3 linked regions of the Rattus norvegicus genome follow. The protein of the gene in region 3 interacts with the protein of the main gene of each other region in a pairwise test. Links are inferred from orthologs where the notes say so. Each region holds a gene or a part of one and is shown on either strand. Other genes may lie near its edges.

The links. The genes of interacting proteins can lie anywhere in the genome.
Region 1: the proteins of Zgpat (region 3) and Krt40 interact in binary tests that used the Homo sapiens proteins (3 or more experiments, as listed by UniProt). The two-hybrid records come from large-scale screens. The link is inferred for Rattus norvegicus from reciprocal best matches to the Homo sapiens genes ZGPAT and KRT40.
Region 2: the proteins of Zgpat (region 3) and Dhx15 interact in binary tests that used the Homo sapiens proteins (3 or more experiments, as listed by UniProt). The two-hybrid records come from large-scale screens. The link is inferred for Rattus norvegicus from reciprocal best matches to the Homo sapiens genes ZGPAT and DHX15.

What each region holds. Positions count from the first base shown.
Region 1 is NC_086028.1:84,995,741-85,000,381, forward strand, and holds the start of Krt40 (keratin, type I cytoskeletal 40), read right to left. Parts: upstream 3,159-4,641; coding exon 2,712-3,158; intron 1,374-2,711; coding exon 1,291-1,373; intron 985-1,290; coding exon 828-984; intron 1-827. UniProt on the Homo sapiens protein: May play a role in late hair differentiation.
Region 2 is NC_086032.1:62,998,599-63,003,055, reverse strand, and holds the start of Dhx15 (ATP-dependent RNA helicase DHX15), read right to left. Parts: upstream 3,159-4,457; 5' UTR 2,991-3,158; coding exon 2,920-2,990; intron 1-2,919.
Region 3 is NC_086021.1:188,864,892-188,868,795, reverse strand, and holds the end of Zgpat (zinc finger CCCH-type with G patch domain-containing protein), read right to left. Parts: intron 3,322-3,904; coding exon 3,188-3,321; intron 2,954-3,187; coding exon 2,798-2,953; intron 2,079-2,797; coding exon 1,959-2,078; intron 1,874-1,958; coding exon 1,468-1,873; intron 1,273-1,467; coding exon 1,134-1,272; 3' UTR 882-1,133; downstream 1-881. UniProt on the Homo sapiens protein: Transcription repressor that specifically binds the 5'-GGAG[GA]A[GA]A-3' consensus sequence. Represses transcription by recruiting the chromatin multiprotein complex NuRD to target promoters.

The sequences.
Region 1 (4,641 bases), on a different chromosome or scaffold from region 3:
CATTTATGTGTGTCTGTATGCCACATGGAGCTGGGGTTATGGGCAGTTGTGAGCTCCCTGACATGGGTACAGGAAGCTGAACTTGGGTCCTCTGGAAGAGCAAACAGCACTCTTAATTGCTGAGTCATTTTCCCTTATACTCTTTCTATTAGGTCCAAATGTTTCAGCTATTTGTCTGCAAAACAGGTGTAATTTTGTACCCTTTCCCAGAGGATTATTGTGAGACAGGGAAGAGTTACTACACACTACTACACACACAGTAAATCTATAAAATTAATGACACACGCTCAGGTATCCATAATTGCCAACTATTGTTACCAGCTAAGGTATCCACACTTGCCAGCTATTGTTACCATCAAAATATTCAAAGAGTAAATTTTTTCTTTGTTACATCAATCTGCTTCTCATTTTAATAGCTTATGACAGAATCAAATTATAAACACACAATACCTACAAACATGATTCCAAGTATTGTGTGATTGTTTATCCCTTTTTTGGAAGGGGATACACAGTCAGTTTTATCAGCTCAATTTCCTTGTTATACAATAGAGCTATGGAAAAAACCATGAGTTGAGTTACTTCTCAACCCAAGCAATGGCAGGAAAAAGAGTGACCTCACCTCCGTGCCACTGATGAGGGTTATGTTAATGATGCATGCTGTACATCACATCTACCTTGAGAGACACTGGGGCAATCATGCTACACAGTGAGAATGTCTCTAGTTTTGTTCCAGTATAGGCAGTGTCTGTCCCTGTTCAATTTATACACATGAGATTTCTCAACAGAACTCCTCCTATAGTCTTTGGCCCAGCGGCCACTCCACTCACCTCTTCATGGTCTTTCTTAAGGCAAAGTAGATCATCTTTCAGAGACTCCACATGGGCCTCCAGATCTGACTTGCACAGGGTCAGTTCACCCAGGATCCCACGAAGACCACTGATGTCATTCTCTACCAGCTGGCGCAGGGACAGTTCGCTCTCATACCTTTCAGAGTAGGAGAAAGGGAGGGAAGTGGCTTAATTGGCTCAGAGTACTGGGATGCAGGGTTGGATGACACATGGCCTCCAGAGAGTCACACGCCTCAATTTTCCTTACATTCCAAATGAAGGTGAGTTCAGGGTTCAAACATTCTCAGTTAAAAATATATATTATGCAGAAAATATTTTCTCTCTTACTGGAAGACATTAATTATTGTTAATTATTATTTTATAATTAAATTTAAAATTTAACGTGTAAATTGCATACACAAAGCACACTGTGGCTTAACAAAATAAACATAATTTGACTTACTTTGACCTAAAATCATCGGCAGCCAGTTTGCAGTTGTCCACCTGCACGGCAAGTCTAGAATTCTCTGCCTTCGTGCACAATATCTAAGAGGTAAGTCATCATTTAGTGAGGAGCTCTTTAGAAGAAATCCACATATCTATTTTAACAGCCTTGCCACTCATTAGTTTATGAAAGTCTTTCCAAGTTAACATAATGTCTCTTCCAACCCATGATTCCTATTAACTGTGCCACTTCACAGAATAAAAAAACATTCAGTGCCAATTGAGAAACAAAATACAGAAGCAAAAGACCTTCCCTTCCTAAAATGAAGGATTTCACCTTTTCTTTCTTAGTATGTGTAGGTGTGTGTGTGTGTGTGTGTGTGTGTGTGTGTGTGTGTGTATGTGCAGGTGAGCGTGTATATTTAAGAGTATGTGTATGCACATGAGAGTGTACACATTTGAGTGTGTCTGTATGTTGGTAAGAGTGTAGCCTTGTGCAGTGAGAAGAAGGTGAGAAGTTTTAGGTGCTTGTGAGCTGCCACACTTGGATGGTAGGAACTGAACTCAGGTGCTCATGAGCAGTACAATGTTGTTAATCACTGCTGAGCCGTCTCTGGGGTTCAAGGTTTCCTTTATCAGTGATGCAGGGCATTTTGTCACCATCACTGGCTTTTGAGCTTTGTTGAAGTTTCCCACACTGCTAGTGTTTGTTAGAATTGCATCTCTGTGGTCACAGAAATCCATCAATTAAAAAAGGAGAAGTGGCTTTGTTGGTCAAGGGTTTGAAACACGAGTAGGAAGATCTGGGTTCAATCTCACAGAGCTCATGTGAAAAAGGTAAGTATAATACTCAGTGTCGGTTAACCCCTGGTACTAAGGAGGTGGAAACAGTAAGATCCCTGGGGCTCCCTGGCCAGGCCTCAGGGACTGCAGCTAAATCAGTGAGTTCCAGTTTCAAGAAGAGACTCTGTCTCAAAAACAAGGCGAGGAACGCAAGGTACTTGCCATGGACCCCAGACCTCCTTACCCACACTCAGGCATGTGTTCCCTCCCCACACGATCATATATCACGTCGCCCACCAACCCCACATTTTGCACACATACACACAAATAGAGAACGATTTCCAGAACTCAAATGGATGGCATTCAATATCTGTTTGATAAAGAATATAAACACGCAATGATACATGAAGAATGGGGTTTAGAAGACGTCATAACTCAATTTCCTTCACAGTGTAGACAAAGTCTACAGCAAGGTGACATTTCTATAGTCACCCAATAATTCTCTGAGAATGAGATTGATTATTTGAACTAACTCTGGGAATCCCCCTTTCCTTTGTTTTACATCCACAAAGCAACCTGCCCTAGTACAGCTATGAGAGAAAACAGAATTGGAAAACAGAGAACATTGGGAAACATTAGGGCAGTGAGACACCCAACCTTTTGTTGTAGCTCTTCAATGGTGTCAAAGTACCGCTGATAATCCGGGCAGACCGGTGTGGCATCGGGCTCACATTGCTCTCGGATCCTGCACTCCAGCTCTGCATTGTTCTCTTCCAGGCTTCTCACCCGCTCTAGGTAGCTGGCCAATCTGTCATTCAGGAACTGCATGGTCTCCTTCTCATTACTGTTGAACGTCCCTTCTTCACACCATGCACAGTTCCCCACCAGGCAAGGACTGTTACAACCGCCAGTCAAGTAGCACGGTGAGAGGCAACCGGCCGGGAGGTGAGCCCTGCAGAGGAAGCTCGGGGTTTGACATCTGGATGTGGCGCAGGTGCTGGGAAGGTAAGTTGTGCTGGTGGGGCAGAATGAGGCAGTTGTGCAGCTCGATGCCCCTGCATAGGGCTCAGAAGAGCAGCAGTCAGGGGAGCCTTCGGAAGCCATCTTCTGAGAAGGAATGAACAGATTGAATGGTGTATTGCTTAGGTCTCGCCTAGTCTCCCAAAGGTCTAGGACTTTTGGCTTCCTGAGACTTTTATATCTCCCTTCAAATGAGTGTTTACAGGACACACCGATGTTTTCTCTAGCCTTGCAGATGCCAGCTTTCCTACAAACATCTCATTAGTGTTGATTATTTACGGAGGAAGTTGTATGCCTCGTAAAAGGAGGATAACTTCAGGTTACTAAATCAGGACTAACGCCATTTCCACATGCTGCTTGGATAAAAATTCTTATTTCAGCAAACGGCCATAGGAAGCACTACCTTTTTGAATGAATAAGGAACCAAAGAAAAAAATCGAGCCATCAGTAATTAAAGGTAGAGATCATTGGAGATACAGAAAGTAATATTCCAACAGGGTTTGATTTTGAAAATTGATTGCTCTTGTCTACTTTACAAATGGACATCACAGCTTATTAAATTGTATTTGTTTGTGCTACCAACCACTGTAAAAATGGCGGTTAGCAATCTCAATCTTGAAGTGTCTTTTTTTTAGTGAGTTTGAAGTATGTGCTTACATGGTACAGGAAAAGGTCTATGCTGAGTGCAAATTATGTGCATTCATTTTATAGACTGATGAGAATAATTGAGTCAAACTATGAATTGGTTATCAAGATCTGAATTGCGATCTTTGGTCATCTAGAATTTGTGGTCTGTAGCCAAGCACTAAGCATGCCTAACCCTGCTTAGTTGGTGAGATTGGATGTGCACTGAGTGGATAGTCAGACACGCAAGCTTTGCTTTCTCATGTTTACATTTTAGAAGCGTTATGCTGTTTTTGAAAAGCAGTCTTTCTTTCTTTTTCCTTCCGTCCTTCCCTCCCTTCTTCCTTCCTTTGAAGTTGGAGATCAATCATAAGGTATTGTTCATGGCACATAATTGATTTACCTCAACCTATAGTCCCAGTCCTTACCTATATTAAGGAGAGCAGAGAGAGAAATTGCAATGAGGGTTTAGCTGTAATCTGTGACGGAGCTCCTTACCCATTATACTTGGGAATAGAGCCAAGGAAGCCACAAAAATCTTACTTTTAAAAAAATATGGAGTCTGTCTCCTCTTTTTTATTTAGGAAAGTCTCAATTTCATGAAAATGAAAAATATTTGGATGTTGGGAATATGATTATGTGATGTCTGTTTCAGCTAACAGTTTCACTGAGTTAAGAACCTCTGGTACAGAACTAGATGGACATTGGTTCTAGGATCTCACCTCTACTATAACTATAAACTGGAGTTTCATGTTGTCTGATTTTAATTGTGGTTTTTATTTCACTTTCAAAAATTACACAGAGAAAATTGCTTTCAGCATCAATAAAAGTCCACTGTGCGTGTGTATGTGTGTGTGTGTGTGTGTGTGTGTGTGTGTGTGTATGCATGGATATGCATGTATGTGGAAAGTAGACATTAATGTTGAGTGTCTTAGATTGCTTT
Region 2 (4,457 bases), on a different chromosome or scaffold from region 3:
ATAAAAATTCTCTAGTTGAAACAATGCTTTTAATTTTAAAGAAAATAAAAACAATCCCAATGTGGTGGTTAAAACACGTTAGTCCCAGTACTCTGGAGGCAGAAGCAGGCTGATCTCTGTGAGCATGGTCTACAGAGTGAGTTTCTAATAGCCAGGGCTATGTAGAGATGCTGCCTCTTTTTAAAAAGAAATGATGGACGGACGGATGGACAGACAGAAAAGTGCTCTAAATAGCACTTTAGTTTACACTGACAATTATCGAGAACAGCGTTTCCTTGCTCACGTGCAAGCTATGGTTTTTGAAATGGAACTAAAAACATTTAATAAGCTAATAATGTAATGCTGCCTGGAATATCTGAAATGCACCAGGCAAATACTGGTTACTACTGATGTTCCATTTAAATTGTACTTGGAATAATAACGGGCACTAATATACTGCGCTAAAAAGGATGGAAACTAGTCATCTACTTCAGATATTTTATATAAACACTACTAAGCATGGGCATTAATATGTATACATATCTATAGAAAAAAAACCCAAGAAAGCACTTAATATCAATGAGCAAGACAAGAGATATGCCTTATAACTGGAGTACTGCACAAATAGGCCCCAAATTCCAAGAGCTCAGATATTACATTTTGTATTTAAGAATAAGTATGGTCTCCAAAGATGGAAATAATGATTTGGAGTAACTTACTGCTCTTTTCTTTATACCTTAAAGTGTGAAAATTTCTTGCTCACTGCATCTTATTTAATTTCAGCTACCACAGGATTGTAGTGAAACACACTTCTACCTACAAAGAATCATAATTATTGAGTTTCGATCAGGAATACTAAGAACCATTAGAATAAAAATGTCCTCAGATTTTCCAGAGCTGGTGAGATGGTTCAGAGTGAAAAACTGAGTTGACCCCTGGGGCCAGCATGGTCAAGAGGAAGTATCTAATTCCATGTTTTCTTCTGCTTGCCACAAGCAGTGGTCATACACCCAAACACACAAAAGTGTGCTGGAATGGAGACAACAGGGTCTGGTGACAGCTGGGGTGACAAAATGAACAAGCCTATGCTGTCAAATACACTAAACAAGAGCAAAAAGGAAGGAAAAGAGGGAGGGAGGGAGGAGAGGAGGGACAGAATCCCTGGCAGTCAAAAGTGCCTTCAAACTAAGTGAGGAAGAGAAAATCAATAGATACCAAGCACAAATACTGTATAAACTCATTGCTAAAGAAAATCAGTTCTATAAGAAAAAGTACTCAAAACACTTACGAAACAGCAACAACTGCCCTCCAGAATCTCTAGAAATTAAGGAATTACTCTTCAACTGAACTCTCCTGTACTTACTGACAAATATTAAATACTCAGAGAAAACATGAAGCTACCATGATACACCCAAAGTCCATTTTACCAATGTTATACATTAGCAAGAGAAATCACCATGATCACTGTGATCAATGTGGAGCCACTAATCGAAATAAATGCACTGAGTAGTGAACACACACACACAAAAACACTGAAAAGAACTATCTCAGAGTGACCTCTAAGTGGGAAATTAGTTGCATCTTAGCCAAATGTGACAATCACTACACTTTATCAATCCAATAAGAATGGCATTATGACAGGTGGTAATGTTTAACTACAGTTTTATGTTTCATGTTGAGAAAAGGAGATTTCTAGATGCCACTGTAAAGTATGGAAAAGATCACTGTAATGTTGCTCTCCCTTGGAGAATAATCATGAGCTGTATTTCTACCTAAGAACTGACTGAGCTCAAATATGAACGCTTGGAATTTTTGCTTGCGGGAATAGCTAGCTGTCTTGGGATGTTGTATTATTACAATGCTTAGTATTACAAGCTTTAAAAAAAAAACTACAGAATCAAAACATAACAAACCTACTTTCCATATTCAATATTTCAATCTAAGGAGAGCATCAGAACACATCCTATCCTGACCTATACCTCCCATTGGTAGTTAGAAAGCAAGCCCAAAAGACTTAAAATCTCAAGAGACCACACATCTGACTTGACAGCTAGTGTCACAGGACGTAAGAAAATGATAAAAGCATACAACAGTTTTGGACATTCGGACTTCTGTGTTATATTTTTTTAACTAACCAAACAGATCTCTGTACTGCCAAAGTATAAACATACAGTTAATTAAAATGGAAGGGTAGGAATATAAGCTAAAGTACATTTTAAGTATGAACTGTCACAGAAAAGCTGGAAAATGATAATACAACTGCTTACATGCTAAATGCCCCGTCTTTGCAAAAGTCTAGGAAAAGGAACCAAACTGCCAGACCAAGAATCGGTGTAAGCATTCCTCAATCTGCACGTGGGTGTTGTTTGTTCAAACACGCTTAAGATCACTTTTTGAAAAGTGCGTCCAAAGTCGGGAGGAGATAGAAATAACTTACAGAGCGGAGGGAGATTACGTATTTTCACAGGCCTACCCCACTGATGCTTAGCAAGGCCGGTTTTTAAGCAAAGCAGGAAATAAAGGAGATGGCGGGAGGGCAAGCAGAGGGCGGAAGTTGGCAACGGCCTCTTCTGAAGTGCCTCAATGGAAGGAGGCCGTCCGTCTCCCGCCAAACAGTGCGCCCCGAGGTCGGCTGGTCTTTATCCCCAAGTAGACAGCTCCCGCCGCCGCCCGGGGCCGCTCAAGGGGCAGTGCCCTTGGCCACCCCATTCCGGACACTCTCCCCGGCTGCGGGCCTCACGCGAGCACCGAGGCCTCGCGGCCCGCTCCTCACGCCCGCCGCCCGCGGCCTCGTGGCCACCACAGGCCTCTCACCCTGACCGCACACACTCGGCCCGCGCCCCAGCCGGCCGATGGCAGACAAAGACTCGGCTGCCGGGCCTGCTCCCCGCCACAAGCCAACAAAGCCCGAGCCGCGACTGCGCACCCGGTCTGTCTTACCCATCGGTCCCCGCACGCTTCTTGCCGGAGGGGTAATCCTCCCCCAGGTCCAACCGATGCCTCTTGGACATCTTCGCACTCCCAGAGCGGACGCTTAGGAAGGAAGGAAGAAGAGAGACTCCAGCAGCCGGATCCACACAGAAGAGGCCCGCTGCTCAACTCGCAGGGACCCCCACCCCTCCCGCCACCACAGACCGCTCCGTGCGGCCCGAACCAGGAGCTAAAATGGCGGCCACGACGAGGGCAGGGCCTGCGCGCGCGCCGCCGCGGCGGGCGTGCCGGCGTGGTGCGCGCGCACGCCGCCCGGAGGCGGGAACTCCCGTCCCGCCCGATGTGCCATTGGCTGAATGGCTCTGCGCCCCGCGGGCTCCTCCCCTCTCCTCCTAGCTGTGAGCCGCTCTGAGCGATTGCGAAGGACGAAGATGAGCCTCAAGCTGTCACTTGCTGCCTGGAGTTCGTTCGGAAAGTTGGAAAAGCCTAGTTCTAATTAGGAAATCTATCCAGCTGTGTATTTACTTTTGTTTTTAGGGTCTGAAGCTCAGGAAGGCTTAAGGAAACAAGATCACACAGCTGGTAAGTGGCAGAGCAGGGCACAATTATTTTATAACTCCAGAACAGGAATTTGCAGTTGTTGCGCCAGATTCCCAGCCGCGGTGAGAAACATGTTAATTTACTGTGACTCGTTTTGTCCACTTACCCCAGAACAGTATTTATTCAATCTATAGGTGTTTTGGATAGGGTTCAGAAAATTGGAGGAATTCGTACTGGACACCTTATTTTTTCTCCAATCCTCTGCCCTAGTCTCTCTCCGTTTGTGTATATATGAGTACATATTAGGCACTTGGAGATGTTAACCCTATCTCTGTCCTCGTTTGGTTTGGTTTGGTTTGGTTTGGTTTGGTTTGGTTTGGTTTTCTAAGACAGGGTTTCTCTGTGTAGTTCTGGCTGTCCTCAAACATGCTCTGTAGAAGAGGCTAGCCTGGAATTCAGAGATCAGGTGCTGTCTCTGCCTCCCAGTGCTGGGATTAAAGACATGCCCTAGCATGCCTAGTTGCTGTGCTCCTTAGTAGAGTGAACCCTGAAAGACATTTTATAGACATAATCACCTAGACTGAAGGAAATCAACAAATAGCGCATCCATTAAAACTCCACTGTAATGGCAAGTTGTTGAGGGAAGGTGACACTTAAGAGGTTGTGTATCTTTCTCCCTTCAGCCTATGTGCTTGCTCAATTGCATTTATTTCCAGAAGTGTGGGGGGAAAGAATTCTAATGATCAGCCCAAACACAGAGTATCACTTCATGTCAAGATTCTCCTTGACTGCTCCTTGGCTCTAGTCCCTCAAAAATTCTCAAAAGATTAAATACAACAGAAACATGGCAGATGACAGCTTCTATTTTTGTATCATCCATCAGTACAAATTCAAATGAATATCTTTTTGTTACTTTCACAATACCCAATACAACCTTCTAAATGTACATTGACAATCAATTAAGCCAGGTGTGGTAGTAAGTGCCTTTAATCCCAGCACTCCTGAGT
Region 3 (3,904 bases):
TATGAGGGCCATGTACTCCCACCCCACTCTTCCCTTCCCAGGGTTCCTGCCTTTCCTGGAGTTGCCCTTAGTAGAGCTGATTAGGGTCTTGCCCATGAGTTCAGGGTGAATAAAATCAGGGTGAGGGCCTGCCTGTCCAGGCCTGGAGTATAGGCTTCTTATACAGAGTGGGCCCAAGCTGACTAACTTGGCTACAGCCAAGTTATCAAAGGCCTAGCCAGGCAGGGACTAACCCTCCCAGACCCCAGGGCATGGAGAGGTTGGGGACTGGCCCAGGATAGAGGATGGGGGAGCACTTACCAAGGCCACCGGGGGTTTGCTGCTTGGCCCTGTCTAGGGCAGCCAGGAAGGTCTTTGTGGGCTGCTGGTGACGCCTCACCTCACTTCCTGTGTTTCTCAGCACCTCCCAGCAGCCACACAGCTCCTGCGCAGCTGCTCCCACAGCCTCTGCTCGCCTCACGCCTCATCATGGCAACTTGCACAAAGGCAATTATCACAGAGACAAGCACAGTCCCCTCTACCCCAATGAGGCAGACACCCATTAGTGAGGTGAACAAAGCAGGTCAACTGGATGGATTATCCATGGCAGCCGAAAACCAGAAATGAACCCCAAACCCCCTGGAGTCAGGTCTGCCTGCTTTCCTGATAGGATCCCTAAGGTGTTTCCATCTCACACACCCTGCCTGTTCGTGAGTTCTGTTCTTACCACTTGGTCAAGGAAGGGATAAAAAGGAGAGTGCTTTTCTCTTGGATTCTTGGACCCTAGACAGAGGCAGTGGCCTCATTTGGGACTCCCACAGCCCACCTATCTGTTGTCAGGACCTACACAGATCCCTTTGTCCCCAGAGATCCTGAAGCCAGCTGAGTCTCCACTGAGAGAGTTATGATGAAATCACTTTAATGTCCTAAGGAGATACCCCAAAACACTGGTAGGTGGGCTTGGTGGGCAGATAAGTTCAAAATCAGCCCTGATGTCCCATCTCTACTCAGCAGTGTTCACACTTTAGGCTGAAAAGGCTAAATAAGGGATGTCCTAGGAAGGGGCTGGCTCCTCTTCTCAGTGCTGTTGAGGCGTCAGGGCGACAGCTGTCTTTCTGCCAAGGCAGTTGGGAGCTGAGTCCCAGGCAGGGCCACTAGAACTCCGTCATCTTCCTGTGAGTGTCTGCCTTCCGCTGTTTCCTCTGTAGGTCGGCCTCCTGAGCACGCAGCTGACCCAGCTGCCGCTGGGCTCCCTCCAGCTTCTCCTGCAGATGGGCTGTCGCCATACCATGCCTAGGGAGAGCCTGCTGGTCAGCATTGCCTCCTGGCTCCCCAGTACCAAGCCCCCAGCTGCTGTAGCCAATGCCCACCCTCCAATATCCAGACCACCTCAGACTCAGCTGCTACTCAGGTCAGGTGACCTTTAGCAGGTATCCTCTGGGCACAGCCACTGGAGCCCATATTGCCTCAGCTGGATCCCACACATACCGGCCAGTGTTGCGGGTTAGGGCCTCCTGGATGCCCCGGATGTCCCGCTGGGTCCGCTCTATCTTCTCCTCAGTCTGGAAGAGCTGCAGGCTCAAAGCCTGCTTGGCACTCTTGCTGGCATGATACATGTCTTTGTTCCTTCTCTCTGGGGTATCCACTCCAGCATCTGGGGTCCCAGGAACCTGGCTTTGCAGTTTTTCATTCAAAAAGTCAAACACATTCCGAGGGGGTGGGCGGCCCTCAGGTCTACTACTCCTCCTCCGACATCTTGGAGGCCTGCTGGCACCAGTCTGGCCTTGCTTTGTCTTCTTCTGCAGTATCTCTGCGCACTGGTCCAGTGATTTCCCTCTAGGCAACACTACAGCATGGATGGGCTCCACCCGGCCTTCTGCATGCCGGCCCAAACCTGGGAAAGACAGGGGCTGTGCTACCTGCTGGACTCTTGAGCTGGGTTGAGGCCTCCCTCTCATCTCAGGGCAGCAAGCACTTACCCTTGCCAAACTCATAGCCCATCTTGACGAGGAGTTTGGAGCCAATGCCCCGTGTGTGTACCTCCCAGCCAGCAAAGGCAGAACTGCAGGTCCCAGTGTCCACTGTGTTTGCTTCCACCACTGCAGGAGACAGAGGGGTCCAGGACTCAGTTCCTGGGTTGGGCCAGATCTCCTAGACGGTGGTCTCCTCTAGTTCCCAAGCATGCTGTGTGCACTATGTGTGTGGCGACTGCCTTTAGAGACAGCTGTTGTATGACCAACTTCACTTTAGCTTACATCTGCCACCACGGAGAAGAGCCCGGAAACTACCAGTTCACACCACAGGTTCCTAGGAACATCTTCCTGTCTTTATCCTAACCAACCCCTCAGGAAGAGTATATGTTACCTACTGGTTCATTTCCTGAAATCTCTATTTCACCTGGAAACATCTTCCCTTTGCTAAGATCTCTTCTGCCCTTCCCACCAAACACCTAAGCTCTAAATCTGGGAAGTCATCTGAAGAAGCCACCCTTTCCTACCCCCTACACTCAGTTCCTTCCTGTGACTTCTTGGCAGCTCTAGCAACAGCATTCCCTTCTCTGTACAGTGTGCTGCCACCTTGCTTCACGGAACATTGACTGAGGCATGCAATTGCTGTGTCTATTTCTTAAAGGCAAAAGCTAGGCCTTGGGTCCTACCCAGGTCATCACACACTCCCTGGTCCCTCAGGTCCTCTCCTGTACATTACTGTGCCAAGTCAGACTTACCACATCATTTGTTCTGCAGCTATCTGGGTAATTTTCACCAATCTGCTCTATTCCCTCAACACCCTGGCTTGTAGGCGCTGATTTTTGCCATACCTCTGGCATAGCTGGAGTCACTTGCATCACCAGTGTCTGAGTCAGATGAATCTGTAGCCTCAGTGCGTAGAGGAGGCAGGATGCTGTCCCCCTCCACCACAGCCTCTTTCAGCAGCAACGAGTCAAACTTAACAGTATAGTAGCCATTGTCCACATCTAGGGTGACAGAGACAAGGTGTAGGTCAGCAGTTTTTACAGGTTAAGCAACCAGTTAGGAGCGAAGTGGGAAACAGGAAGGGAAGGGGCTTGGGACAAAGGCAGACCTGCTCCTTTTGGGCCTAGGTGAAGTCCCAGAGCCCAACCCTGAGGAGGTGGAGAATGGCTGTATGAAGAACAAAAAGGGTGTTTTGAAAAGGGTCTCATCAGGTAGGTCCTTGTCGGCAGTCTCACCAGTGATCCGTGCTGGGTGCCAAAGGCCATCCTGGTGCTTGGCCAGACATGCAGAGCCAGTCTGTAGTAAGCTTAAGTCTGGATCCTGGAAGGGACGCAGCTCATCCACAGATACCAACTGGCCATGGGAAAACCTATAGATTCAACCACAGAAGACAGTAGCTTAGACATGGCCCACCAGGATCAAGTAAGGCCAAGAGGACAAAGGTCATCACTAGGGCACTGCCTGTAATGGAGTGATATTCAAGAAATCAAGACAGGCACACCAGCAAAAACAGCTACACGTTCATACCTATGCATTTATGTACATATACAAGCACAAACACATATTTACTCATATGTGAATATATAGATATTCTCATATTCTCTCATGCATATACATATACTTAGATATTTATGAGCATACACATCTGCATATCCATATGTACAATCTCTATACACATACATATAAATGCACAGAATATACCACATATTAACATATACCCTCATAAGACACACATGTATATACACTAAATGCATAAATGCATAATGTACTCAAAAACATACATATACTTTCAACACACACACACACACGCACACACACACACACGCGCACACACACACACACACACGCACACACACACACACGCGCACACACACACACACACACACACGCACACTCTGGAGTTTTTTCTCTTAGGATACACAATACACAGGGCCTCTTTGGGGAAACGGCTT